3 linked regions of the Struthio camelus genome follow. The main gene of each other region encodes a partner of the protein of the gene in region 3 in a complex. Links are inferred from orthologs where the notes say so. Each region holds a gene or a part of one and is shown on either strand. Other genes may lie near its edges. The genes, in order: RAMP3, RAMP1 and CALCR.

The links.
Region 1: the proteins of CALCR (region 3) and RAMP3 are in contact, whole or in part, in a cryo-EM structure (PDB 8F0K), measured with the Homo sapiens proteins. The link is inferred for Struthio camelus from reciprocal best matches to the Homo sapiens genes CALCR and RAMP3. Residues at the interface, in NP_001158210.1 of Homo sapiens: Arg45, Lys46, Met49, Asp50, Gln52, Tyr53, Lys54, Tyr56, Asp57, Met59, Gln60, Arg74, Thr75, Trp76, Asp77, Gly78, Asn124, Arg126, Phe235, Leu238, Ile242, Thr246, Gln257, Arg258, Trp261, Tyr262, Leu264, Leu265, Phe269, Ile276; in NP_005847.1 of Homo sapiens: Cys57, Leu59, Ile63, Tyr66, Glu67, Thr70, Tyr83, Trp84, Pro85, Gln90, Ile93, Thr94, His97, Arg98, Phe101, Ser102, Cys104, Val106, His110, Leu111, Glu112, Asp113, Pro114, Val118, Leu119, Leu122, Ile123, Pro126, Val127, Leu129.
Region 2: the proteins of CALCR (region 3) and RAMP1 are in contact, whole or in part, in a cryo-EM structure (PDB 9AUC), measured with the Homo sapiens proteins. The link is inferred for Struthio camelus from reciprocal best matches to the Homo sapiens genes CALCR and RAMP1. Residues at the interface, in NP_001158210.1 of Homo sapiens: Arg45, Lys46, Met49, Asp50, Gln52, Tyr53, Tyr56, Asp57, Met59, Gln60, Gln61, Thr75, Trp76, Asp77, Gly78, Asn124, Arg126, Phe235, Leu238, Ile242, Thr246, Val250, Ala251, Gln257, Arg258, Trp261, Tyr262, Leu265, Phe269, Ile276; in NP_005846.1 of Homo sapiens: Trp59, Ile63, Tyr66, Arg67, Ala70, Asp71, Phe83, Trp84, Pro85, Val89, Asp90, Phe93, Leu94, His97, Gly98, Phe101, Ser103, Arg109, Ala110, Val111, Arg112, Asp113, Pro114, Ile118, Leu119, Phe122, Ile123, Pro126, Ile127, Val129.

What each region holds. Positions count from the first base shown.
Region 1 is NC_090943.1:62,830,900-62,838,911, reverse strand, and holds the start of RAMP3 (receptor activity-modifying protein 3), read right to left. Parts: upstream 3,015-8,012; 5' UTR 2,812-3,014; coding exon 2,757-2,811; intron 2,170-2,756; exon of another isoform or gene 2,155-2,169; coding exon of another isoform or gene 2,145-2,154; intron 1-2,144. UniProt on the Homo sapiens protein: Accessory protein that interacts with and modulates the function of G-protein coupled receptors including calcitonin gene-related peptide type 1 receptor (CALCRL), calcitonin receptor (CALCR) and G-protein coupled estrogen receptor 1 (GPER1).
Region 2 is NC_090947.1:4,641,256-4,648,752, reverse strand, and holds the start of RAMP1 (receptor activity-modifying protein 1), read right to left. Parts: upstream 3,015-7,497; 5' UTR 2,912-3,014; coding exon 2,869-2,911; intron 1-2,868. UniProt on the Homo sapiens protein: Accessory protein that interacts with and modulates the function of G-protein coupled receptors including calcitonin gene-related peptide type 1 receptor (CALCRL) and calcitonin receptor (CALCR). Required for the transport of CALCRL to the plasma membrane.
Region 3 is NC_090943.1:27,947,437-27,955,491, forward strand, and holds the start of CALCR (calcitonin receptor), read right to left. Parts: upstream 3,078-8,055; 5' UTR 2,914-3,077; coding exon of another isoform or gene 2,885-2,913; 5' UTR 2,564-2,884; coding exon 2,475-2,563; intron 1,880-2,474; exon of another isoform or gene 1,670-1,879; coding exon of another isoform or gene 1,662-1,669; intron 1-1,661. UniProt on the Homo sapiens protein: G protein-coupled receptor activated by ligand peptides amylin (IAPP), calcitonin (CT/CALCA) and calcitonin gene-related peptide type 1 (CGRP1/CALCA).

The sequences.
Region 1 (8,012 bases), about 35 Mb from region 3:
GAGATATTTTATATATATTATATATGTATGTAGAGAGAGAGAGAGAGAGAGAGAAACTCCTCCAGAATTAAAAAAAAAAGTAGCTTTAATCTGGTACAAATAGTACCCCTGAAATGCAGACATTATCTAAAGGATGAAAGAGCAAATGTTTGGAGAAGGAAGTCAAAATAACAACCATTTGTTTAAAACAAAAAAAACAAAAACAAAAAAAAAAACACAAAAAACAACCTGTTCTGTTAAACATCCTGGTCAAGCCCTGAAGTTTCTCCATGCCTGTTTCTATACATAAAAAGAGAATAACCACATCTCAAAGTATTTTGCTAAATACATCATTGTTTCCAAGGTGATTAGATGACAGTAAGTAGATGCCTTCTAAGTATCTAAGGCTCTGCTAAACAAAGTATGAGGATTTCACCTGACAGCTCAAGTTTCCAGCTGTGCATCTCACCACATTTGGGATGTTATCAGCACTTCATAGGGGGAATCAGTACAGATTAACTGTTTGTGTACCAGCTGCCTCAGCTCACAGCTTCCCCGCACACCCACATCACAGCAAATCCCACTTCTGCAGTAATTACTAAGCTTCCAGGGAGCAAACACGCTGCCTGTCTTGCCATCCTGGCAAAAGAGTGATGACACTCAGCAGATGGTTCTGTATAGTGATAATGTTTTTTAAGAGCTTTAGACAGAAAGATATGCAGAAAGCAGTAGTTTGAGTTTAGAGAAGTAAGGTCTCAATCCCTATGCAGACAGAATTCCCACCGAATTCAATGAGAGCTAACACTGAGGCATCATGGCAACATCTTTACCTTAAAGACCGCATTCATGGGTCTCTGGTTAGCAGAAGCCATTAGGAAACGTGGAAGAAAACATGATCAATTCAAGTGAAAATCCTTCAGGAATAACTGACATAAAAGTACATTTATATTACTTGAGAAAGAACGACTTTGGTTTTCTGCCACTTAAAGCATTCCTTATCATGAGGAATTCACATTATAAAACTTTCAGAACTCCTAAATGGCTTTTCTAGCAGGAAATTAGTCTAATTGCATTTTGTTCTTCAGTGCATCTACCCTTTCAAACTTCAGTCAAAAGTAATACATTATCAGCTAACAGATACCATCAAAATCAGTTCTTCTGCAACCTTATGTTAGGAAAGCAACTAGCACAGGCAAAAATTTCTAACACCTGATTTAGTGGTTAGTGTCTCTCTGGTGAAAAACGTTTCCTAGCTTTCTGAGCTACAAGGGACGTTACTCCTCACTGCGCTCATTCTCTGAAAATAAATCTCCGGTAATCAGGTTTGTATTGTAAAAGTCACGACAACACCCTGATGTCTTCCCAGTCAAAAAAAAGACTGCTTGGTTCCCTAAATTTAACACTGAAAAAATAAATCCTTAAGCGTCAAGACAGGTGTTGGCCATTTTTTATTCTTTTTCAGTTAGGAAGCAACAAAAAGCTTGTGTGATCAAGGTAAGATTTTAGCAATCCTTGAGCCACAGAGAATCAGAAAGTTTAAGCATTTGATGTGTCATTCTTTTTACAGATCAAATCAAGACAGTGCTACCAAACCTTGTCAGAAACAACTATCCATTTATTTATAGGTCTTTTCACAGAAAGATGTGCAGTATTTGCCAACTTTGTACTTTGAAAGGGGCATCAAGTTAGCAAACAAAGTTAGAGAGTCCTCAGATAACCCTTTTAAAATGTATGAGGCCTGATTTTCTTCCCTATCTGTGACTCACAAGGAATTAACTCACATTTCTGGGGTTACTGTAGAGTGAGGAAGATCAGAACGGACTTCTCCCAGCAACTTTAAACCTGCCTACAGCACATTACATCTGGGCATCCTAAAGCAAGCTGCCTGACAAGAGAAAAATGAAGTACTTCTAACAGCAGAGTTAATCTTGAATTAAATAAATGAAGGCTCTGAAAGATATCTGCACTTTTACAACCGGCTGTTTGTAACAGAACACATCCTAACTGCAATCAATCCTTCAGCAGAAGCAGAAAACCCTCCTCTTTCCCAAAGATCAAACCTGCCTTCCCAGAATCAGATTTGGGATCTGACAGCTAAATAACAGCAAAAATCGGTCAGATCATCTTTCTTGGGGTGGGGGGAGGAGGGTAAGGTATCAACGCACAGTACAGCATTTCTGGATTTATCTCCTGGCAGTATCCGTCTGCGAGATGTGGGACCAGCGATTAAGCAGCCGCTCGCCTTGCTGATGTCGCGTCTTGCCTGCCCGCCGGCCCTAGCCGCTGTAGCCGGTGCGCAACCCGCTGTGTCACTCCCCACGCGGGGCTTCGGGAGTATTTCCCCAGCGAGGCCGGCGGCTCCAGCCCGCGGGAGAGCCGAGGGGGGCCGAGCGCCCCGCAGCCTCCCCGCCCGGCGCGGCCGGAGCGCGGCTCGGGCGGGCTCCCCCCGCGGGGCAGCCGCCCGCCTCTCCGCCTCCCTCCCGCGCCGCCCGCTCCCCGCGATGGCTATCGCAAGGGACACCCCCCCCCCCCCCCAGCCAAGAGATGATCCGCAGGGCCGGGGGACACACGCACGGCGGGGAGCTCCCGCCTATGCCCAACTTCATGCCCGCCCGCCCCCGGGGACGCGCTCGCACGGCTGAGGATGCTCCGCAGCCCCTCGCTGCCCCCCCCCCCGGCAAGGCAGGCGCAGCGGGGACACCTCGGTGGCCGCCGCTGTCCCGGAGCGCCTCGGCACAGTGGCCGGGACGCCCCCCCGGCAGGCGCCCCCCACTTACCCCACAGCAGCAGGACGGGGAGCTGCCGCCGGCGGCAGCAGCTGGGCGCCTCCATCCCGGCGCGGGCGGCGGCGAGCGGCCGCGGGGGACGGAGCCCGCATGGGGCGGCCGGTCCGCAGCCGCGCAGGGCTCGGGCCCGCCTCAGCCCCCCCACCGGGGAGGCTCCTCTTCATGCCGCGGCGTCCAGCCCCGGGCGGCGGCGGCGGCAGCAGCGGGGGCGGCGCGGAGGGGCGCAGCTCCTCCGCCCCCGGGTGCTCTGAGCGCCGGGGGCGGCCCCGCGGCCGGGCGGGGCCCGCGGGGGCGGGCTGCGGCGGGGCTGCTGGCGGGGGCGTAACGGCCTCGGAGGGAGCTGTGTGCGCCTATGTGTGCATGCATGGTGCGTGCGAACGCGCCCGTGAGTGCGTGCATTTGCGTGCCTGTGTCCATGCATGGGTGCACTCGTGTGCAAGCATGAGTGTGCTTGGGTGCACATGGGTGCATGTCAGTGCCTGCATGTGTGCATGCATGTTGAGAGTGCATGTGTACGTGTGTGTGCACATGTGCATGCATGCTTGGTGCATATGAGCGCACAGGTCAGTGTGCATGCATGTAAGTGCATAGGTGTGTGTGTGTGCATGTGATCACGCACACATGTCAGTATGTATTAGAGCATGCACATGTGAGTGTACACGCATGCGTACAAGTGCTGCCGTGCCTCTGGGCCCTCCAAGAGCCACAGCAAGCCACAGGAATCCCATGGGAGACTTCTTGCCCCCCCACCCCAGGAGTCAGAGTAGCCTCCCCTCTCTTGCTGTGACACGCTGGCAGCACGGACAAAGGCGTGAGTGGCTGGAGGTCACTGGGGACCAACATATTAGCCTCCTTAGTATTTACAGCTGAATATGTGCAGAGAGCTATCCTAACCCTGCACTGATGCCAGCACAGAGGAGCCAGGACCTTGAAGAAAATGCTTAATGTATTTTCCTGTTGCCATTTTGTCTCTGTACAGCTCTATCCAGAGGGGGAGTGGTACAGCTCCTCATTGTCATCAACAGTTAAAGGCTGTGTTCCTGGAGCTCTCTCTCTAGGAAATTAGCATCCCTAGCAAGAACCACCACACTGAGAAGCCACTAATGAAGCCTTTTCTTGGCTAACAATATTTATACTGTTCAATTTTAATAAGGAGCCAGAGCGTGTTTCTAAGTACAGGAACGCTCAACCTCAAGAACTGCGTGTGAGCAGAACATGAAGTTACTGCCATTGTTGAAGGTCGGATGTATCGCAAAACTTGAGACTTCAAAAAATGCTAATGTCCTACACAAGAACAGATGTACATTTCTGCATCAGTTGGGTTGTTCACATTGACTTTAAATACTGCCTGGAAGAGTAACTTTCAAAGTTTTTGGAGAGTTCCAGCTAGTGACCCCAATGCTACAGGATTATGCTACCGGTATCTGAAGGCAAAGTACTCCATACACAGACTAAAAGCAGCCGTCTAATTTATGCTGTTATCTAGGCTGAAGGAAATGGAAAACTTGAGAAACCACAGAGATGATTGTGAATGCAATGTGTTGAAGTGGCTCTACAGACATTCAAGTGCATAAGTTACAATGAACCTCCTTTATTTGCGTGCCGCTTCTTCCTCTTAGCTAAAAGCAAATCTGGTAAAATTCCACGGGCCATAAATAACCAATAGGTCAGGGAGATCCTCCTTCAACTGAGGGGCTGGCACCTCTGCTTTGCAAGGAGTATCTGCAAGCTACTCCTATCAAAAGGACTACAGAACGCAGAGTAGTGACAAGTATGAAGCTCCACACGCTGCAGACTCACTATAGCATCCCTCCTAACAGTGAGATTTCAATTTCCCTTTCAAAATCTGTTACAGTCAATCTCTGACATCACAAATAGTATTTCCAAGAATTTGGACCAGTCTTCAGGAGTGTTAAGACACTCATATACTTCATATACTGCAAATGATGCAGCATACATTATACATATATTTTACAATATACATTATGCAGGATTGGAGATGATGCAGACATTTTTCTTCTAATCTATTTTCAATATCTTCACCTGTTTCAGATTAGAAAAAACTCCATGCAAAACTGGCAGATTTCTAGATTCACAAGTTACTGCTTTCAACTAGCAAGATTCAGCCAGAACTTCCCATTTTATATCTGTGGCAGATATTATGAAGATGCAAGTAAAACCTTCAAGGTAGAACAACAGCTAAAATTTACAGGCAAATGCACTAATTTAGAAATGGTCCAGTTATAATAGAGCACAAGCAAACTATGCTGGCCTGTATCTTCAGCTACATGTATTAAAATGAGTAATTCTGATATGCAGGTATATCTGAACAAAATTGTCATGGGATTAGAACTATCAATAACAGGCAACTTTAGCTGTGTAAAGGCTTTCACTAACACTGTTTCTATCAGTTGCAGTAATGCTAATACATTTACTTCAGAAAGGCTGTGAACCTTTTTATTTTGCAAATCTGCCTCAGCAACTTCACATCTCTATACCAGCAGTGGAAATCTGTTTCGCCTTCAAATAAGAAATCCTACAAATTCTAACTGCTGTATATAACTCTAAATCCCTTCCTTGACAAGAAGCAGTAATAATATTCTCAAAAGTATAGTTTGTTGTAATTCTCAAAAATACAGCCTCCAGAGAAAACAACCCATTTTCAGGTACCCTGCAGAGAATGCTGCCATCACATCACTTCAAGCATTGTTTCAGATACTTATCCTCCTAATAAGCCACTGACTAGAAAAATGACAGCAACAGACAGGTAAGTGGCTGTCGCAGTGTTAAAGTTCTCAGGGAGTTTGAAACAAGAAAAGGGAGGTGGAATCAAGCCAGACAGGACAGGTATCATCATGAGCACCAGATCATTCATAGTTGTGTGAGATAATGTAATGAAATCTCATCTGCAGAGGTTAAACTGATCCTGCAGAAACAACTGTTCAGAAGAAAACTAGGTAAAGATACTACATCATGAAAAGTAACATTGCCCTTCCTTGTAGCATGAAGTGTTGGCCTTACAGAATACCCACTTGTCTGTGCAGATCGATATCTGATCCACTGCGGGCCAGAAGGTTTTCTTCTGTGGTTCCTAGCAAAATAAGTAGTTTTGTATAAAAGATATATTAAGATTTTAAAACCACATCTTAATGGAATTGTTTACTGAAATGAGGTCTGGAAGAGCAGGTGGAGGTTCAGCTCATCTGCCTTTTTTGTTTTTAAACTGAGAATATGTCATCTTGCTTTCAACTGGTTAATCTTTCTTCTCCCATTCAGCGGTCCTACGACCATGTCTTTCCTATTCCAGAAATTTTAAAAAAATACATAAAAAGGACCTGAATTAAAACCATTTCCTCCTCTGTGTTCTGCTTGCATAATTTCACGCAAACATTTTCTCCTGTCTTTTTTCTCCAATGTAGAAAAAATACAAATATATTAAAAATATTATTATTAGTAAATGGCATCTTCCTATGACTGAAAAGACATTTTTCAAAGACCAGACTGTGGTATTGAGTGCACATAAAGCTAAAATGATTTTAAGCACATCAAATTTCACTAGCTGAAATTCTTTATGCCTACATGACCTGAACTAAAGAGGGGGGAAAAAAAGACATTTTTCTATGTAAATACCTTGATTTTCACATAAGAACAGACACTGATTATGGGAGTACACAAATACTTATGGCACTGTTCCAAAACTTTAAGATACATGTGAATTTGGTCTGTGATTTCAGTGGGGTTCTTATTGGTTAGATGCTTAACTATCAGCATCATGTAGGTATTTCAAAATACTGTCATTTTCTGAGATGCTGAGCTACTCAATTATTACTTGGCAGCATTCCCATTGGTATAAAATGTGTACTTTTTTTAAAGGAATTGGAATATTCATATTTTGTTAGCTTTCTTGTATTTTAAAGTGCATTCATGCAAAAAAAAAAAAAAAAGAACATAGCAAGCTACTATTACACGCCATCAAGGCTAATAAAAATGGCTTCAGAAGTGTCAAGACAGACATCAAGGGAAAGCAGAACAGATATTATATGGAAATGAATTTACTTCCAGGATGAAATAAAGAACTAAAGTAGTTCAAGTGAATTTTATTTGCTGTGAAAGAGGATGACTTTTGTTTATTTTCCCCCTACAGCTGTATGTACCCTATTCTATCCTCTAGAAACAAGAAAGATTCTTTTAAAGTAGTGTTGTTAATCAAATTACACAAAATAGCAATGGACAACGATAGTAAGGACTCCAGATAGAGGCCTTCTGGCTCCTACCCCCAAACTTCAAATGCAAGATACATAACGAAGGTAGGAAACATTCCTTGGAAGTCAACAAACAATCCCTGCTTTGGGATGCTAACAGAGGGATGGTAGGAGCAAATTCCAGAGTCAAGGGCTCTCCGCTAAAGCGCCTGTCCCTATATGTATGCTGATACATGGGGGCTTGAGAATGGCAGGATAGCTTAAAATACGTGACTGGAAGCTTGGGCATAGGGTTAAGCCTGCTCTGCAACTGATCTATTGAAGGACTTTTCTTCCTGCTTCGGTTCCCTTAGCAGCAGTAATATGGGAATGCAACTCATGGCACAAAGCTTTGACAGATATAGATGGCTAACATGCTATTCATTCTGACTTTTACTCCATCTGATCTGGCTTGTTTTATGATCTATGTTATAAAAGCATCTCTTCAAGGGACCGCAGAGCTAAACTGTAGGAGCTAGTATGTGTAGCTGATTTCCAACTGTTTTTCCTCTTATCGTAAGAGGCATTCTAGGATTGTGCTTGACTCTAGTGATACACCCTGTGATCTTTTCTTCCTGTTGCGCATTACTATTCATCTTTTTGTACATCAGGCAGAAGCGTGAGTATAAAAGAAAGTCTTTGTAATTTGGCTCAGGCGTAGGAAACAAATCATGCCTTCATTTTTAATGTAAACAAATCATGCCTTCATTTTTAATGTAAACATTAATAAAATATGAACAATGCTTTATTCCTCCTAGACCAAATAAAGCCAATATTAATCTATGCTCTTTTAAACACTTCACTGTATGGTATGTTTTAAAGGCCCTGAATTTTTACACAGAAAATGCATTAAGTTCTCTCATGACAGACTGTCTGAGGAGCTTGGGAAATGCCAACAGGGAATATGTATGATGTCTCCATACATGGTTGTGTCTCTGAGAATAAGAGAAATAGCTTGGAAAATGAAAGGAAAGGTAAAAGAAAACAGATGGAAACATACACGTAT
Region 2 (7,497 bases), on a different chromosome or scaffold from region 3:
GCGATTGCCCCAGGAAGCCCCCAGAACAGCCCTTCCCCAGGCTCGCGGAAATCTCTCCCCGGCCGAATCCCTGCTACCGGGACCGAGGCAGGACCAGCCAGCGGACGCCCTGGATGTAACCACCTCCAAGACGAGAAGGTGCTTCCAAGACTAATACTCTTCACGCAAACAAGCAGATGGCCCGCAAAGAAGCGACCACACGGATAAATCAAATGCAGTAAGGCGGGAAACAGAATAAACGGCCGCAATGCCCCGTGGGCGCGTTCATCAGAGGCTGCAAAGAGGAGCAAGTTGCCTAAACGCTTTCGACATAACGGTTTCCAGACTACAACCTTCCCGCGAGCAGCCTGGGAACAAGCTATTTTCCTTTTTAAGGGTTTTCTCCCCTCGTAAGCGAGCGACGCTCTGCAGCCAGCTCTTGCAGCAGTAGGAGCTCGCTCGGGTCTAGTGATGACTCTCAGTTTGGACCCGTCGCTTTCAAAGCTCTCAGTCCATTCGGCGAGAGCGAACGAGGCGCGCTGCCTCCTGCCTGCCGGCCTCGGCAGGGAACCGCGGCCAAAGAACCGGGAAAAGCCCCATTTTTTAACCTTTACCTGAGACCTCAGGGTGCGGCTACACCTTGGGTCTGCTGACTGAGATTGCAGCTATTTTTGGACAGTTGACATCCTCACCGTCGCGGCTTTTTAAGGACTCGGCAGCCAGCTGCAAAGTCGCTTCAAGCCCGGGCAGCTCAAAAAGGCTTTTTCGGCATAGAAAAGGAGGCTGAGCTGATGCTGCCAGGACGGGCACCCCCGGGGCCAGGGGGTGTCACGGTCCTCGCTGAGCGCGGAGCTGCCTCACCCTCTCGTGGCCCGGAGCGGGGGGGGGGTTGCACGCGGATTTAGGAGGCAACATCTGGCTCGGAGCTAACGGGAGTCTGGCAGCGCCAGCTCACGGGCTCCATCCCCGCAGCCAAAAAGCCCTGCAAAGGCTCCTGCGGGAGACAGGGAGGACGCGTCGAATTGGTGGCGTGGTTTTGGTTTTTTTTTTGCTAATAGTGCAGAATGTGCTCAAAAAAAAAAAAAAAAAAACCCAGTGAAGAGAGGACGCAGGACAAACCAAACGTACCCACCGCTCAGCGCCGCAATTATCTGTCATCTATCACGGCTAAGTGGCTTGCACAGAGGGAGCCTTCCTGCTGCCACAGGCTGCTGGGAAGGCAAGAAAGCCCGAGCCGGCTATTCTCGAACCGCAGCGGCACCGTTTCTCTCCCTTTCGGACCGGGGGGTCGGAGAGTGGAGACCCCTCACTAAAACCAGGATAAGCCAGGAGGGAAGCACAACCAAGAAACAGCCATGCTCCCGCAACGGGGTCAGAGATGCTCACGCACCGCCGGCCCAGCCGGGATTTCCCACTGCGTTTCCGTTTTGCCGGCGAACGAAAGCGGCAGACGGCATGGCAGAGGCTGGGAGAGGGCGCTTGTGCTGTACGGGTTGGTTTTAGTCCGGATTTGGGGTGCTGCAGCATGTTGTTGCTCCGCTGGAGGTTTCCCAGTCCCTCGACCGGCGAGGCCGTCCCAGTTGTGAAAATAACCCCCGGGAATCCCGCTCGCAACTCAAATCCTGCGCTCACAGCTGGGAAAAGCGGCCCACGACGGCACACACAGGATCCCCGCGGCGTTACGGCTCCGGGGACGGCAAATAAACACGAGGGGTCGGTGGGTTTTGTTTTTTTAGGACTGGGCTCTCGCTAAGCATTCCCGACGGGGCTCCTCCTCTTTTTTTTTTTTTTAGCAGGTTACTATAATATTACATTTGATTGTCTCGCGTGAGAAACAAGGGGGCAACCAATGCTTAACCTGCTGGCGGGTAAGAAAGCCTAAGAAGCTGATTTCTAATTTGTTTTTAAAGAAACAAAGGGGAAAGGGACTAGAAAAACACAGCAGAGAAAAATCCGAGATAATCAAGAATTGCTAATCGCAGGCATTAACATGATACTGTTTCCTGCTTCGTCAGGTACACTGAGCGTTTCTCTACCACCGACCACGGAGAATGCGTTTTGTCTGACCGCGCCGTCTTGTATTTCCCTGTGAACAGTCACAGGCTGCAAGATAGTAAATAGTTTATGACGCTGCACGGAGAAGAGCGTTGTATGCGGCGGAGCTCGATACATTATTTACCAGGGTTTGGAGCAGAAAAAGAGCGCGGGAGAACGGACAGGAGGAGAAAGAGAAGAAATCTGAGTTTCCTCAAAGAGTGCTTCAGTTTCCTGCCAGCTCAGTGTCACAGGGATGGTGTGCGGTTTCCCTTTTAAGTCACCTTAAATAAATACGCTTCTTATTCCGAGTGCTACCAACGCAGGGTCCGGGTTTTTTCCCCCCCCAGCACTGAAGAAGGCCGGAGCGCCCTGGGCGCAAACCGTCGCGTAGCGCGAGAATTTCCAACCTGATTTTTGGACCGGCAGCACCTAGCGAGTCCGAAACCTCCGCGAGGGAGACGAGTGGCGAGAACAGTCGCGGCCCTTTCCGCGTGTCCCGTTCAGAAACGGTGGTGGTTGGGGGCGGCGGGGGGGGATCCTGAAACAGCCTCCTGGTAGCTGATCTGAACTTCTGGAAGAAAGGGCAGAGGAAGTCATCCAAAGCGAGCAGGCTTTGGGAAAACCTAAGATCTCAGAAAGGGCGTCGGGCGCAGCGGGGCGCGCCAGGGAGCACCGCTCGCCCGCCCCGGCACGTTTAGGGGCCGCCTTTAGGCTCCTTGCTATTCCCCAGCGCTCGGAGCCGCTGGGACGGTACCTCCCGGCAGGAAAAGGACGCTAACGCACTGACCCGAGGAACAGCCCGGCTGCCTCTAAGCCCCGGGCGGGGGTTTCGGCGGCGGGGCGCGCACTCACCCAGCACGAAGCAGAGGAAGCGCCGAGGTAGGAGAGCCGCCATCCGCGGCGCCGTGGGCCGCCCGCCCGTGGGAAGGGCGCGGGGGCGGCCGCGCCGCTCAGCCGCTCCGCGCAGCCACCTGCCCGGCGGCCGCCGCCGCCTCCCGAGCCCCGCTGCGCGGCCGCCCGCGGGAGCGCCGCCGGGCCCTCCCTCCCTCCCTCCCTCTCCCGAGCGCTTTCCTCCCGTGTTGGGATTTCTGTCCTGTAAACCGTCTCTAACTGGTTTGTCGGAGTGGTGGGTTTGTTTGGTTTTTTTGGCCGGGGGGGGGGGGGAGCCAACCACTCTTTGTGATGACTTCAGCTGAGATTTGTCACGCCCAGCTGAGCTGGAGTTAACTCCATCTTCTCGGAGCAGGCAGGTAGGTGTCCAGAGACGGGGAGCGGGGCAAGGGAACGGAAAATTTCTCAAAGGAAAACCCAAGGAAATCCTTTCTTCCCCACACGTTTTCCTTTGCCCTCCTTCCATTTTTTGCTAAGGTGCTCCCTCTAGCCTAAGGAGAAGAAGCATGCCTTCCCTTTCTTTGTTTACAGACTCTTGGACACTACCTTCTTGTGGTCATGCAACTTCAGAAAGAATATACATACATGTATACGTACACACAGGCACCCACCCACCACATATGTATGTATTACTTGGAGTGCAAAAGCATTGTTGAGCAAGTAGAGCTCCACCTGCAGCTCATCGACTGAACTCTTGCCCAGCCCGAATGTGGAAAGGTGCCTCGCTTGGGCTCTTCAGAAATTTAAGAGCACACACATCCAGACGAACGAGGTCTCCAGCTGTACAGAGGTCAGGCGGAGCAGGAGGTGCTCCTCGCCACCCCACAAACGCCTTCTCTCACCGTTTGAGTTAGCTCTCCCTTTGAAAAGGCTGCATGAACAAGCAACCGCTGCAGCGTGCCAGGCCTCGTTTCAGCGTTTCAACATTAGGCATGCGTCTGCCTTCCCAACAGGAACAAAGCCACAAAGTCAGCTTTACCTACAGCACTAATAACTCCTGTTTAATTACAGAATCAAGTCTGGGGAAGGGAAAGGGCAGCATTGGCTGGCCAAATAACAGGGCAGAGCAAAGCCTAGAGCTGTTTTAATCTTGATGTGAACGGGGAAGAAAACAGACCCGAGGCCTCAACTGCAGCTTCAGGATCCAACTTAAAAACATCAGCTGCGAAACACAGTGCTAGGCTTTGAGCACGTTGTCTGCAATAGTTCTGCTACGAGGAGAGGGAAGAGATGAAATGTGAAAACAGCAAAACATAAGCACAACTTTTTGAAGAAGAAATTTTAACCTTTATTCACAGGCAAGACAGACTCTTTTCAGCAGCAAATGCAGCCTGGATCGAGAACAAAGTATAACAAAGAGAGAGATTTGGACAGCCACAACGTACTGCCTCGCCATGCGATACGGTAACATGGGCCTGGCAGCAGCAAAGATAGTTCTCCTCACCCCCTTACCAGACACATACACCCAAGCTGCCTTTTCTTCATCTGCTAGAAGAGGATTTAAAAGCTATACCCCTTCTGTACACTAACCACACACACAAAAGAATACGCTTGCATCCCCCCCATCCTTCCCCCTCCCCTTGTGTCAACTTATGCAACGCAAACCAAGTTTCCTCTGGGGGATGTCCCACTATACCAGGCTATGTGGCACAACGGAAGGATTTAGGCACCCATCCTCTGTTTACAGCCATGGAAGTGGATTTATAAGACCAAAAAAAAAAAAAATTCCATATTCTGAAAAGAAGTCTAGGGTGGAACATCATCCTGAAGGAAGTATTTGGCCATCAGACTCAGAAGCACGTTACAGAACTGCCAAATGAAAATGGACTCAAGATCACTCTGCTCCTGAATAATTGCTGCTGTTGTAACACTGCAGTTTACGTAACAAAGTCCATGAGTATGGGAAACACTGAGGCCTGGTTTTGTAAAACAAAGCTTCCTCTGACGTCGTCCCTTCCCTGCCTTGTGTTAAAAGGATACGTGAGATTTCTACAAACTATTCAGAATGAGATGATCTGGAAAGAACTTAAACACGTTGGCAATTTATTAAACATGTAGTACTTTGAACCAACTTACCAGCTACCTAAAATGCCTAAAATTAAGAGGTGTATAAGAATTAAGGGGGTTGTCTACTTCAGTGATCACTAAGCATAGAAACGTCCTTCCAGTATTGGAGAAGTCCTGTTTCACTGAAACATTCTCCTTTAATTATATCACTTAGAGAAACCTGTTGTTGAATGCTTGAGCCAACTGTGGAGAACAGGAAAACTGGGAAGAACCACTTAAGATCTTCATACACAAAAAGACACCCCCAAGCGATCTTCAGGTTATTTTGTCTCGCATAAGACCACAAATCATGCGATGATGCTACGTGAATTTTCATTAAGATCCGCTGCAGTAAAACCAGTAAGAAACACAATATGATCCTGGAACAAGCTGGAGTACAGAGTTTGCAAAATCTTCCAAGCGAGATGATCAATTCCTCCTTGTCAGAGAAATCACCTTAAAAACAAACAAACAGAGGAAGCAGGTAAATTTAGCATGAATACACCTGAACTGAGATAAAAGGAACACCAGCAAATTTAGCGTGCTAGAAAAATCAGTAAAAGCTATGATAATTTTGCTACAGAGTTTGGAGGAAGTCTGCATGCAGAAGTTTCCTAGCTTCAAGAACCATGTGAAAGAAGTGATTAAAAAGAAAATAAAATATATAATCTCTGTGTAACAAATCTGGTCGACACTGGTTTAAAAAAAAAAAAAAAAAAAAAAAAAAGGAAGATGTAAACTTTACATTTTAGAAATCCATTCCTAGAAACCAGTTTATAGTATAAAAAACAAACCGAGTTTCGCTACCAGTTTTCTAAAATCCAGACTTGAAAGCAGTGAATACTACCAGTGTGTGCATTTGGGCTGGACAGAATTTCGGTATCACTCAGGAGTGCCAGATGGATACCCTTAAAATAAAACATACTTGCCAAAAGACACTGTACAGATTCCATGCATTTCTTTATGTTGCTCAAGTAATGCATTTTAATCATGATTTGATGGGACAAATCTCAATAAGCAGAAAATGTCTGTTTTTAGATCTTTACTATTAATTTCATGGAAAACTACCAACTGCAGACACTGGCACTGTAAGGGAAACGGCCATTTTTAATACCACTCTGAATAGCTGTCATATCATCGCATTTCTTGTTAACTGTTGACTGCCATTAGGTTTAACAACCTCTCACCTGTTCTAATGAACTTATGGCTTCAAAATTAACAAATATGCAAGATCTATAAACATTTATACATCAACCTCTGGGCTAATTCAGCCAAAGCGGGGCAGGGGGAAAAAAGTGAGTCGGTAGGATGCTTTGAAGCTGAATTTGTTATGCATAAAATGCTGCGTAACACAGCTTGACATAAAAGTAGTATCTATAAAACTGTGTTCCATGTTTCACCACTTTGCAAGAACATAAGGTTTCCAAGTGTTTACCTTTCAAGGAAGTCTGAAGCTATACACAAACCAGAATTTCTATAAAAGAACTTTGACCAGAATCATTTTTTCTTAAACATTTGACTTACACGCTTACAGTTCTTCCATTACTCACTAATGACTTGGCTATTTCACAGCTCCCTCATTATGCAAGTAAAAATTGTTCTAAATGATCTCTCCTTAGCAAAGCCATAGACCAAAAAACACTACTGTCGAAGTAATTCTGACTGCAAAGCACTCATGCTATTTTAAAACCATTTGACAAGCGCAACACACGCGAAAGCTATTAAAATCTTACTAATGGAAAATACTGTGAAGTATAACATAAGTTTTTTTGATGAGTTTACATCCGTATTTGCAATCCTGTAGAAGTAAATCAGCAGATCACTATTAAGACTTTTTTTTTAAACATTGTTTTGATTCGTACGGAGCATCAGCAAAAGCTTACAAGGTAGTCAAGTGCCAAACCAACAAACGTGCATTACATTAGTCACTGCAAAAGGAACTCAGCCAAGCATGCATATTGGTTGGGAGTCTTTCACCCTCACCATCACTACAGCAGGTATAATCTCATGCTGGATTTAAAATCCTATCCAATGTTTCTGTATTCAGCACTTACTCTACATTCAGTCTTTCTGAAGGACTTCTCTGATCACTGATAGTCCTTCCTAGAATAAGGCCTGGGGTGAATTAATGACCAAGAATAGCCTATAAGCAAGTATTTGTACTGTTAATGCATCTGTGGAATCGTTTCTACTCCAGGCTTCTATTTCACCTGGTTGGGCAGGATCGATTTCTATTACAGTTCTAGTATTTAATGCACAAAAGTTCTGCTCAAGTTAAGGTTTTGCTGTAGTCTACTTATATGCTACTGACACATGTACATAAATACCTAGCCTGGAGAATTAAGTCTGATAAACAACATGCAAAGGGTGGTAAAGGTCCTTACAGTTGTCCAGCTATCACCATAAATACTACTGGTCTTGTAATTAAATCAGTATCTCCTCTTCCTAGTATTCCACACATCCAAACTGACTCCTTATATTCTTGAAACCAAAATCAGAGCATGAAGAATTTGGTACGCTTTGGGAAACAAACACTACAGAATA
Region 3 (8,055 bases):
TTAGCATATTTTACTGCATATAGCTGAGTACTGAAACATTTTAGTTCATTTAGAATAATTTAATGTTAGCCAGTATATGACAGCTATAGTAAGCATCGCAAAGGTAACTTAGCAAAGGTTACTTACTGCTAAAGGTTGTCAGATGTCTGAAAAAATTAAAAGGAAATATTAGCTCTCCTATATTTATCTACTTCACACTTATGCTTAGGATTCTGAGTGATAAATTAAATTCCCTCTTCAGCTACATATCACCTGCAGCTTGAGCTGCTGGTAACAGAGAAACCTCGCCCTGGTCAGCACTGATACTCTTTCAGCCCTCAAGAAATGCAGGGTCCCTTCCAGTGACCAAAGACACAGGTTCTCCACCCGAATACTGTCCTATGAACACAGGGGTCCTGAATACTGTCCTATGAACACTTTTCCACCAAAGAGGAAGCTTTATTTGCTTCAGTGCCTACAAAAAGACAAATGCATTTTGATGCGCTGACTTGATTAATTTACTCTAAACTCCTTTTACTCAGATTATTTAACTCTCCTGTAAGAGAAAAAGAGCACAGTCCTGGGAAGAATATCATGTACTGTACTACCCTTAAGAAGAGGAAATGATAGTTGGTGAACTTAAAAGCATGGCAGGAAGGCATTTGTTAGATATTGAAGATATCAGCTTCAAGGTCTCAGGATACACACCTTTCTATTTACTCCTTTTTTATCAATGACTTTTTCGTCCATTATTTCAGCTACAATCGACATCCTGTAACTGAAATAAAACAGAAGTTTTTCTCTTTTCTTTACAAATTGTCAACTACCTTAACCTTGTCAAGAAGCCCACAAGAATGAAATCAATACAGCAATTTAAAGACAAAATTGGCAGGCCTTTCTATTGTACTTGGACACATAAAGTAAATAGTCTCATATATCAATGAATTGTCATCAATGGCAATATTCTGAGACCTAATAATGTTGTTTTTACATTTGCAGTGTCAGATGAGAAAGGAAATACAGATATCAGTTCGACAGATGGAAAAGAACATGGAAATAATATCTGACACGAACGAGAAACATTGCCTAGTGACTCAGGTGTCATTTAAATGCCCTGTACTTCCAGGATGGAGAACTGCTACTATCTATAATTTATACCGCATTGGAAGCGACCTGCTCCTCAGCGCAAAAGCTAAAATAAAACTCAAGAATTCATAAATTCCCGTCGCCCTTACGCAATTTAACCCCTTGGCAGGCGGCCACTGCCAGCACCGCTCGGCAGGGCCGCCGGGGCACGCCAGCCGGCCCGGCGGGGCGCCGCGCACCCGCGCAATCCCCGCGCAGCGCCGCCGCCGCCCGGCCCGGCCCGCGGCCGAGGCTCGGGCGGCTCCTGCCCACCCGCCGGGAGGGCAGCGCCGCGCACCGCAGCCGGCAGCCCCCGGCTCTTCCGAGGGGGCAACACCGCGCACGCTGCACCTGGGGCTCCTGCTCACACCTCCTACGCCCCCCCTCCCCCCCTTTTTTTTCCTTTTCTTTGCTCTGCTGGCAACCAGGCTTTGCCCCCCGAAGCAGAGCCCCCCTCTCTCCCTACCGCGGGTCCCGCGGCGGCATCCCACCCTCGGCCGCAGCCCGCCCCGGAGCCGGCGGGTTGAGGGCAGGCGGGCGAAGTTGCCGGGACTTACAGTCGCATCGCTGCCGGGCGCTGGCGGGGCGCCTCTCCCGGCCTCCCGTCACCTCGGGCCACCGCGGCAGCGCTTGGGCTCCGCGACGAGCGCAGCCCGCGCTCCCGTCAGTCAGTCAGCATGGCACGGCGGCTCCCGAAACGCCGGGCCGGGGCCGGGGCCGGGGCCGGGGCTGCTCCTGAGCGCGGCGGGTCCCCGCGTCCCGGCGGGCGCGCCCCGGCGGCGGGCGGGCGGGCTGAGCCCCTCAGCCGGAGCACGGGCGGGCCGAGCCCCTCCGGAGGGGATGTGCCTCGGGAAGCATCTGCCTCCTCTCGCCCGCCTCGGCTGCAACGCGCCCACCCCCCGCTCCGCTCCGCTCCCCGCCGGGGCTTCGCGCCGACGCCGACGCCGGTGCGGGGCGGCGGAGAGCGCCCGGCGGCGGCGGCGGCGGCAGCGCCTCCCCCGCGCCCGCCTCCCGCGGCCCCGCCGGGTGGCAGCCGGCGCCCTCCGGGGGGGCGGCCGGGCGGGCCGAGCCGAGCCGGGCCGGGCCGGGCTTTGACGCACGGCTCTGGCGTGGGGGCGGCCGCCTTCTCGTGGGCAGCGGGACCGTCCCCGCTCCGCGCCGGGTCGCCGCGGCTGAGCGCGCTTTCTGCTGGCGTGAGACGGGGGCTGCTGACCCGTCCTGCGTGCGGGGGGCAGCCCCGGCCCCGCCGCCCGGGCCTGCGGGGCGCCCGGCTCCCTTCCGCGGCGGCTCCGCGAGGGAGCGCGGAGGGGCCGGCCCGGCGCAGCCACCCGCGCTCCTCCCTGCGCGGCAGACAGAGAAGTTCCTCTGACCTGAGCCCAGCGTGCCGGCTCCACCGCGGGCATCCTTCGGAGGAGCAAAGCCAGGGAGGCGGAGGGCGAGGAGGGTGCGGCGCCGCCATCGGCGGAGCCGGGCGCGGGGAGCCCCCGCCGGCCTCCGGGGCGCCGTCCCGCGTCCACCGCGCTCGGGGGCGGACGGTCTGCTCGCTCCCCTCTCTGTCTGCTGCAGTTTGCGCGAACTACTTCCCTCTCCGTTCCCTGAGCCAGAGAGGAAGAGCAAGCGGTGGCTACAACGTTCACCGGCCAGCAAAGACATCTAAATTCCAGTTTCTGCTCCAAAAGTTATGTAAGCATTTTAAACAAAGGGAGAGGCTGAGGACAGCCTCTAGCCTCCTAAGAAGAACATTCCCCTGCTATACAGAAAGCCAGAGGAAGGAACTGACCCAGTAATGCCCGCTTTGCAAGAGAGCATGTAGGGATTGCGCGTGGAGTATTCCGGGAGGACTTCTTCTCTGTTTTAACTATTCCAAGCTGCTTAATATTTAAATCTCCACCGAGCCACAGTGAGAGAGACCGAGAGAAAGCATAGTGATTCACCTCTGCACTTCTTCCAAATGTAGCAGTGCAGACAGCAGGTAGTAGGGTGTCTTCCCAGCAGATGGAGTCAGGAAGCAAACCAGCTTGCTAAACAGGTAACGCCACCAGGCTAAGAATAGCTTTTCTCTTTTGTCTCCCTGCAAGAAGGACATTTCTGCCCTCTAATAAAAGGAGCTTTGACATCTGCTTTTAAATCTTCTGACTTACTTCTGAAGGGAAAGTTAGCTCTTACTGCAGTGGTTCTCAGATGCTTTTCTTCCACCCAGCAAGGTATTCCATGCTTCCCAATTTTTAAAACTGCTAAACTCATTACTCACTTTCTCATACAGCCTATGGCAAAATTCAGCCTGTCCTTAAAGAAATCTGCATGCAAACATAGCAGACTGCCTTTCTATCCACTTCCACATGAAGGAGGAACCCATTGCCATGTTTTCCAGCAGCTGTGTAAAAAGTTAGCTCTAGACAGTACTATCAGATAAATCTGTCCTTTGGATATATTCACTGGGTGGGGGAGAGGCTTATAAAGATGAGATGCTCAGGGAATACTGATCTAAACCATCATCCCTTGATTTAAACTTTCACTGTAGGTTTCACACTTTTTCTTGTGGAGGCAAGGAGAATCAGTGGGAACTGCCTTTATGAGAGCTCATAATGCCATGGTTGCTTCTCTGTTCGGAGCTTTCTCAGGGAGAAACAGTGAAGTTAGGGGAGGTTTCTGTTAATTCTAGAACTGCTGCAGAGCACCCCTGTCGTCTGCCGGGAGTCATGTCCAGCTGCTCTTAGGCCAGCTCAGGTAAGTCACAGTTTTAGGTGCTGAAGATGTCTGCGTAGGAAGAGCTGTTGAAGCACTGAAGCAAAACCATGAGCTGAAGCCTAGAGAGAGCAGGAGAATTCCCCTCCCTTTCACTGTAACGATAAGCTGAAAGAGGAAAAATAGGGAGCTTTCCTCATACCTGGTAGCCTGGAATATTTTCTCTTTTCCAGTGGTTTTAGAGGTAGGTATGTGGGTGGGTAACGAACTAAGTACAGATTGCTTTAAAAGATACAGAAAGCAGCTGGACTACCTGCTTTTCTCAATGGTTGAAGGCAAGCAACTAATTTCTTACTAAAGGTTTTTTGGACAGTGGATCCATCTCTTTTCTTGACGTGTCTGTTGTCTGGCTAATAGTTTTCATTCTATGATTGGAAAATGCCACATTCTTAATGACTGTTTTTATACTTACTTCAAAACAGATTTTATGTTTCTCTGTTTTCTCACTGAGTACTGTACATCTGCTGAAGTATAAATCTGTCATCCCATAATCTGCAAATAGTTTTTGTACTTCTTTTTTTTTCTTTAATTTACATAAACTCCCTTTTGTTAACCATTACTTTGCACACAGAAGCAGCAATTTCTGATTTAGTCTGTTCTGCTTTAGGCAATTCCATTGTGCCCCATGGGACTGCAAGCATGAGTAGTTACTATTTGGCATGCATGTGCAATGCTGACCAGGCCCATAAATAATCATTGCAAATCTATTATTAACTGCACCTTGATAGTTTTATTTCTTTCTATTTGTGCTCAGGAGTCATAACAGCAGTCTTGGACTTCTGTACAGCAGAGGCAGCTAAGCTGTTATTTTATGTTGTGAGGGGATGGTATTGCTTCATCCACGAGAAGTTTAAAATGTCAAACTTGGTTCCAAAATTTCAGTGATTTCTCTCTGTTATCAAGCTAAACATACAAAGGAAACTTGTATCTTTTTGCAGTTTGGCTCATGGAAAATACATTTTTTCTCTTTTTACAACATCACCAATTTTTAAAATATATTTTGTCTACTTTTAATTGTATTATAAGTAAGCCACTTGTGAAACAAACACTGCCCTGATTTTGTTTTGAAATTTTGGTGCAGAATTTGAAATGAAAATCAAAGCAGTTCCCAGCCGGACTCACAAACTTTTCACGGGAGGCTATGGATAGACGCATTTCCACAGTCTTCTGTGAAGAGGTCTGCACTGCAAGCTCTTTGGAGGTGAACAATTTCTACTCATGGTCTGCATATCTTCCTTAAGTGGCATGGTGCACCACACAGGGATTATCTGGAGTTTAGTCCTTTCAGATAAGGATTTGTTCACATCTAGTTGGTTTGGAGCATAGGAAGAGTTGAGCTTTGAGCTGTGTCCAGAAGACCACGTAAGCATGCTGTACCTTTTGGTAAGCAGATTATACATAATTAATTTTAGTAAGGACTACATTCTCTATTTGGAAGACAAAACGGAAGGTGTAGGAGACAACATTTAAGCAAAGATGATAATAGTAAATTTGGCCTAAAGCAGTTCAGGGTGAAGAGAATGGGGAATTTGCCATTACCTTGAGTACAAGTTAGATCAGGCCCATTAAGTCTTCCATGAGAATATTTAAGTTGTTTACATGTGACTTTGTAATCGTGACTTTGCGCTCCTAGAACTCACTGGCTTGAAAACTCTGAGAGTAATTATAGCGCTATTAGCAGCAACACAGACTTCCTAATTGTGCCTGCCTGCAAATATGCCCTGTGAGAGGGAAACGTGTATGGTCAGTATAGCTACTGTTCACGCTATGCATCTGGCATGGCCAGGGTAACTGCTGGGTAACTGGGTAACTTCTTTTAATTTTGAAAAAAACAGGTCACTCTGGGATTAAGGATTTGCAGAACGACAAGTTTTCAGCTTCATGAAGCTGCTGTCAGTTGAAGAAGTCCACACCAAGCGTATAGGGCGGTATCAGGGCAAGTGCGGAAATGCTCAGGTGGCTGGAAGGCACAGGGACTGCTTAGTCTAGTGCTGCTAGGGGAACACAACGGTGTTGTAGACGTAATTAGTAAAGTTCCTACAGACAGGTATGTGAGTACATTTGGTGAACGGGGAGGAGTAAAACCAGAAAAGCAGAAGAGAGATAATCAAAATGAGGCACAGTGGGTGAGTTACTCAGAAGTCTGGGGCTCTGATATGTTGCACAACTTAGACTGTCAGTTCTCACAGGTTAGCACAGGGTAAGATGAGCTGCTGCATAACATAGCACAGAATGTCTTTAAACATACATTTACCCCATATCTTTCTTCTCTCAGCAAGTAGAGAGACAATAACAATTGTCAGCCTAATATGTATTTGAAACTCTATATTATGTTAAACAACTTCCTGTACAGCAAAATATTGTTATTTTTTCATATGGATTGCACTGTACATTGAGCCAAGTGTGTGCTTTTGAATTATCAGAACCGCTGTGCTTGGGTAATGCTTAATTCTGGTTATGCTATAACTCACGTATTATTTCTGCTGCCAGTGTAGCCTCTGTGAAACCTCATCCATCTTGAACCTCTAGTTCTCTACAGTAAGGTAACAAGAATGGAGAAAGGAGGTTTTGAGAACAGCATTTTCAGTGATGTGGTAGAGTTAATCGGTGTTAGAGAAATCAAAAGAGAAAGTTAGAAAAAAGGATGTGAGAAATGGAGAAGAATACTTGTCTGGACAATTTCTCTAACTATTTAGACATGCAAAGCATTAGTTTTTAGAAATATTCTGAGGAATATATTTTAGAAATATAGTTGGAAAATAGCCTTGCAGAAGGAGGAAACCTTATCTGGGTCACAAACAACAGCCTAGTGATGGGAATTTTATGTGTATTTTATTACTAATCCCAGAAACCATCAAATCTTCCAATTAACTGTTTTTTTAAGGTAATCTTTTTCAAAATTAATGGATTAATTTTGTTAGCCTTGTTTTTAGAAATCTGAAATTCAAGGTTTATGTGTTTATCCAACGTCAAACATCTGATTAAAATGATATACAAATTGCCTTATGTCATGATAGATTTAATTCAGTCAGTTTCTTAACGTACAGTAAAATATTAGTAATTAAATTCTTCTCCTTGCTTAAATGTCTGGTTTTAATTTATCTGAATTACTTTATCAACGTACTGATTCTTCAATTCATATCTCAGGACACTTGTAGAGGATCTCCAAAAGAGTTTTGTAGTGAAAGCAAAAGAGACAAGTGCCTCTGAAAGAGAAGAATCTTATTTGAAGGCAAATCAGTAATTAGGAAACACAGAAGTAAAAAAGAAAAAGGGAAATGAAAAACACAAGAACATCAATTGCTTGCATGTTTTCACAGGACAAGGAAAAACGAATAGATTCCCTAATGTAGAAATTTCATTTATTAGTATTTATAGTCTGTTCAGTTTTCAATATATGAGACTACTTTAATTTAGTAGATAGTAATATATGCTACCCTTAGTAAAGCACTCCATAATTATAAATATTGGTGGCAGAAACGGAGCATGGTTTGCTTGCTCTGTACAGAGGAAGAAAACAAGAAAGCAAACAGGATAATGAAAACCTAGGCAATGGGATAGTTTCCAAAGAGTGAGCATCTGATTCGCTCAGAATCAGCAGGTATTTCCAGGCACGCTGCAGAAGCTCATATTCTGGGCCACTCCAGCCAGTGAGTGGGTGTGCGTGGATTCTGGAGACAATCTGAGCCAAGCATCACAAGAAGAGCTTTTCAGGGGAACTAAACACACCAACAGCAGCTAGAAATGTCTTCGCTACTGCATGTACGGTATATAAATCATTAAATATTATAGGTTACACAAATCTGCTTTGGAAATTATTCCAGGAGCAGTATGAAATTTCCTCAAAGCACTGGCAGGCATATTTCATAAATCAAACATACTTGCAAAGTCCTATTAGCATAACTTTTACACTTATTGCTTCACTCATGTCTTTTTTATAGGAGAAACTTCATGTTATTTGGAGTTATAGACAATGCAAGAATCTATCTATTAATGCCTAAACATATCTATGTACATTTACAGAGGTAAAGTTTCATACCTTTGTAAGAATGGCCCAGGGCCTATGCATCATTCGGGCCTTACTTATGCCCTTGAAATAAGTTTTAAGTAAAACTAAAGTAGTGCATAGGCTCATGTTGGTTCTGTGAACACTGGCGAAATTTACCTCAAATCTTTATTCTGCTGTGTGCTCCTGTGAACAGTGAG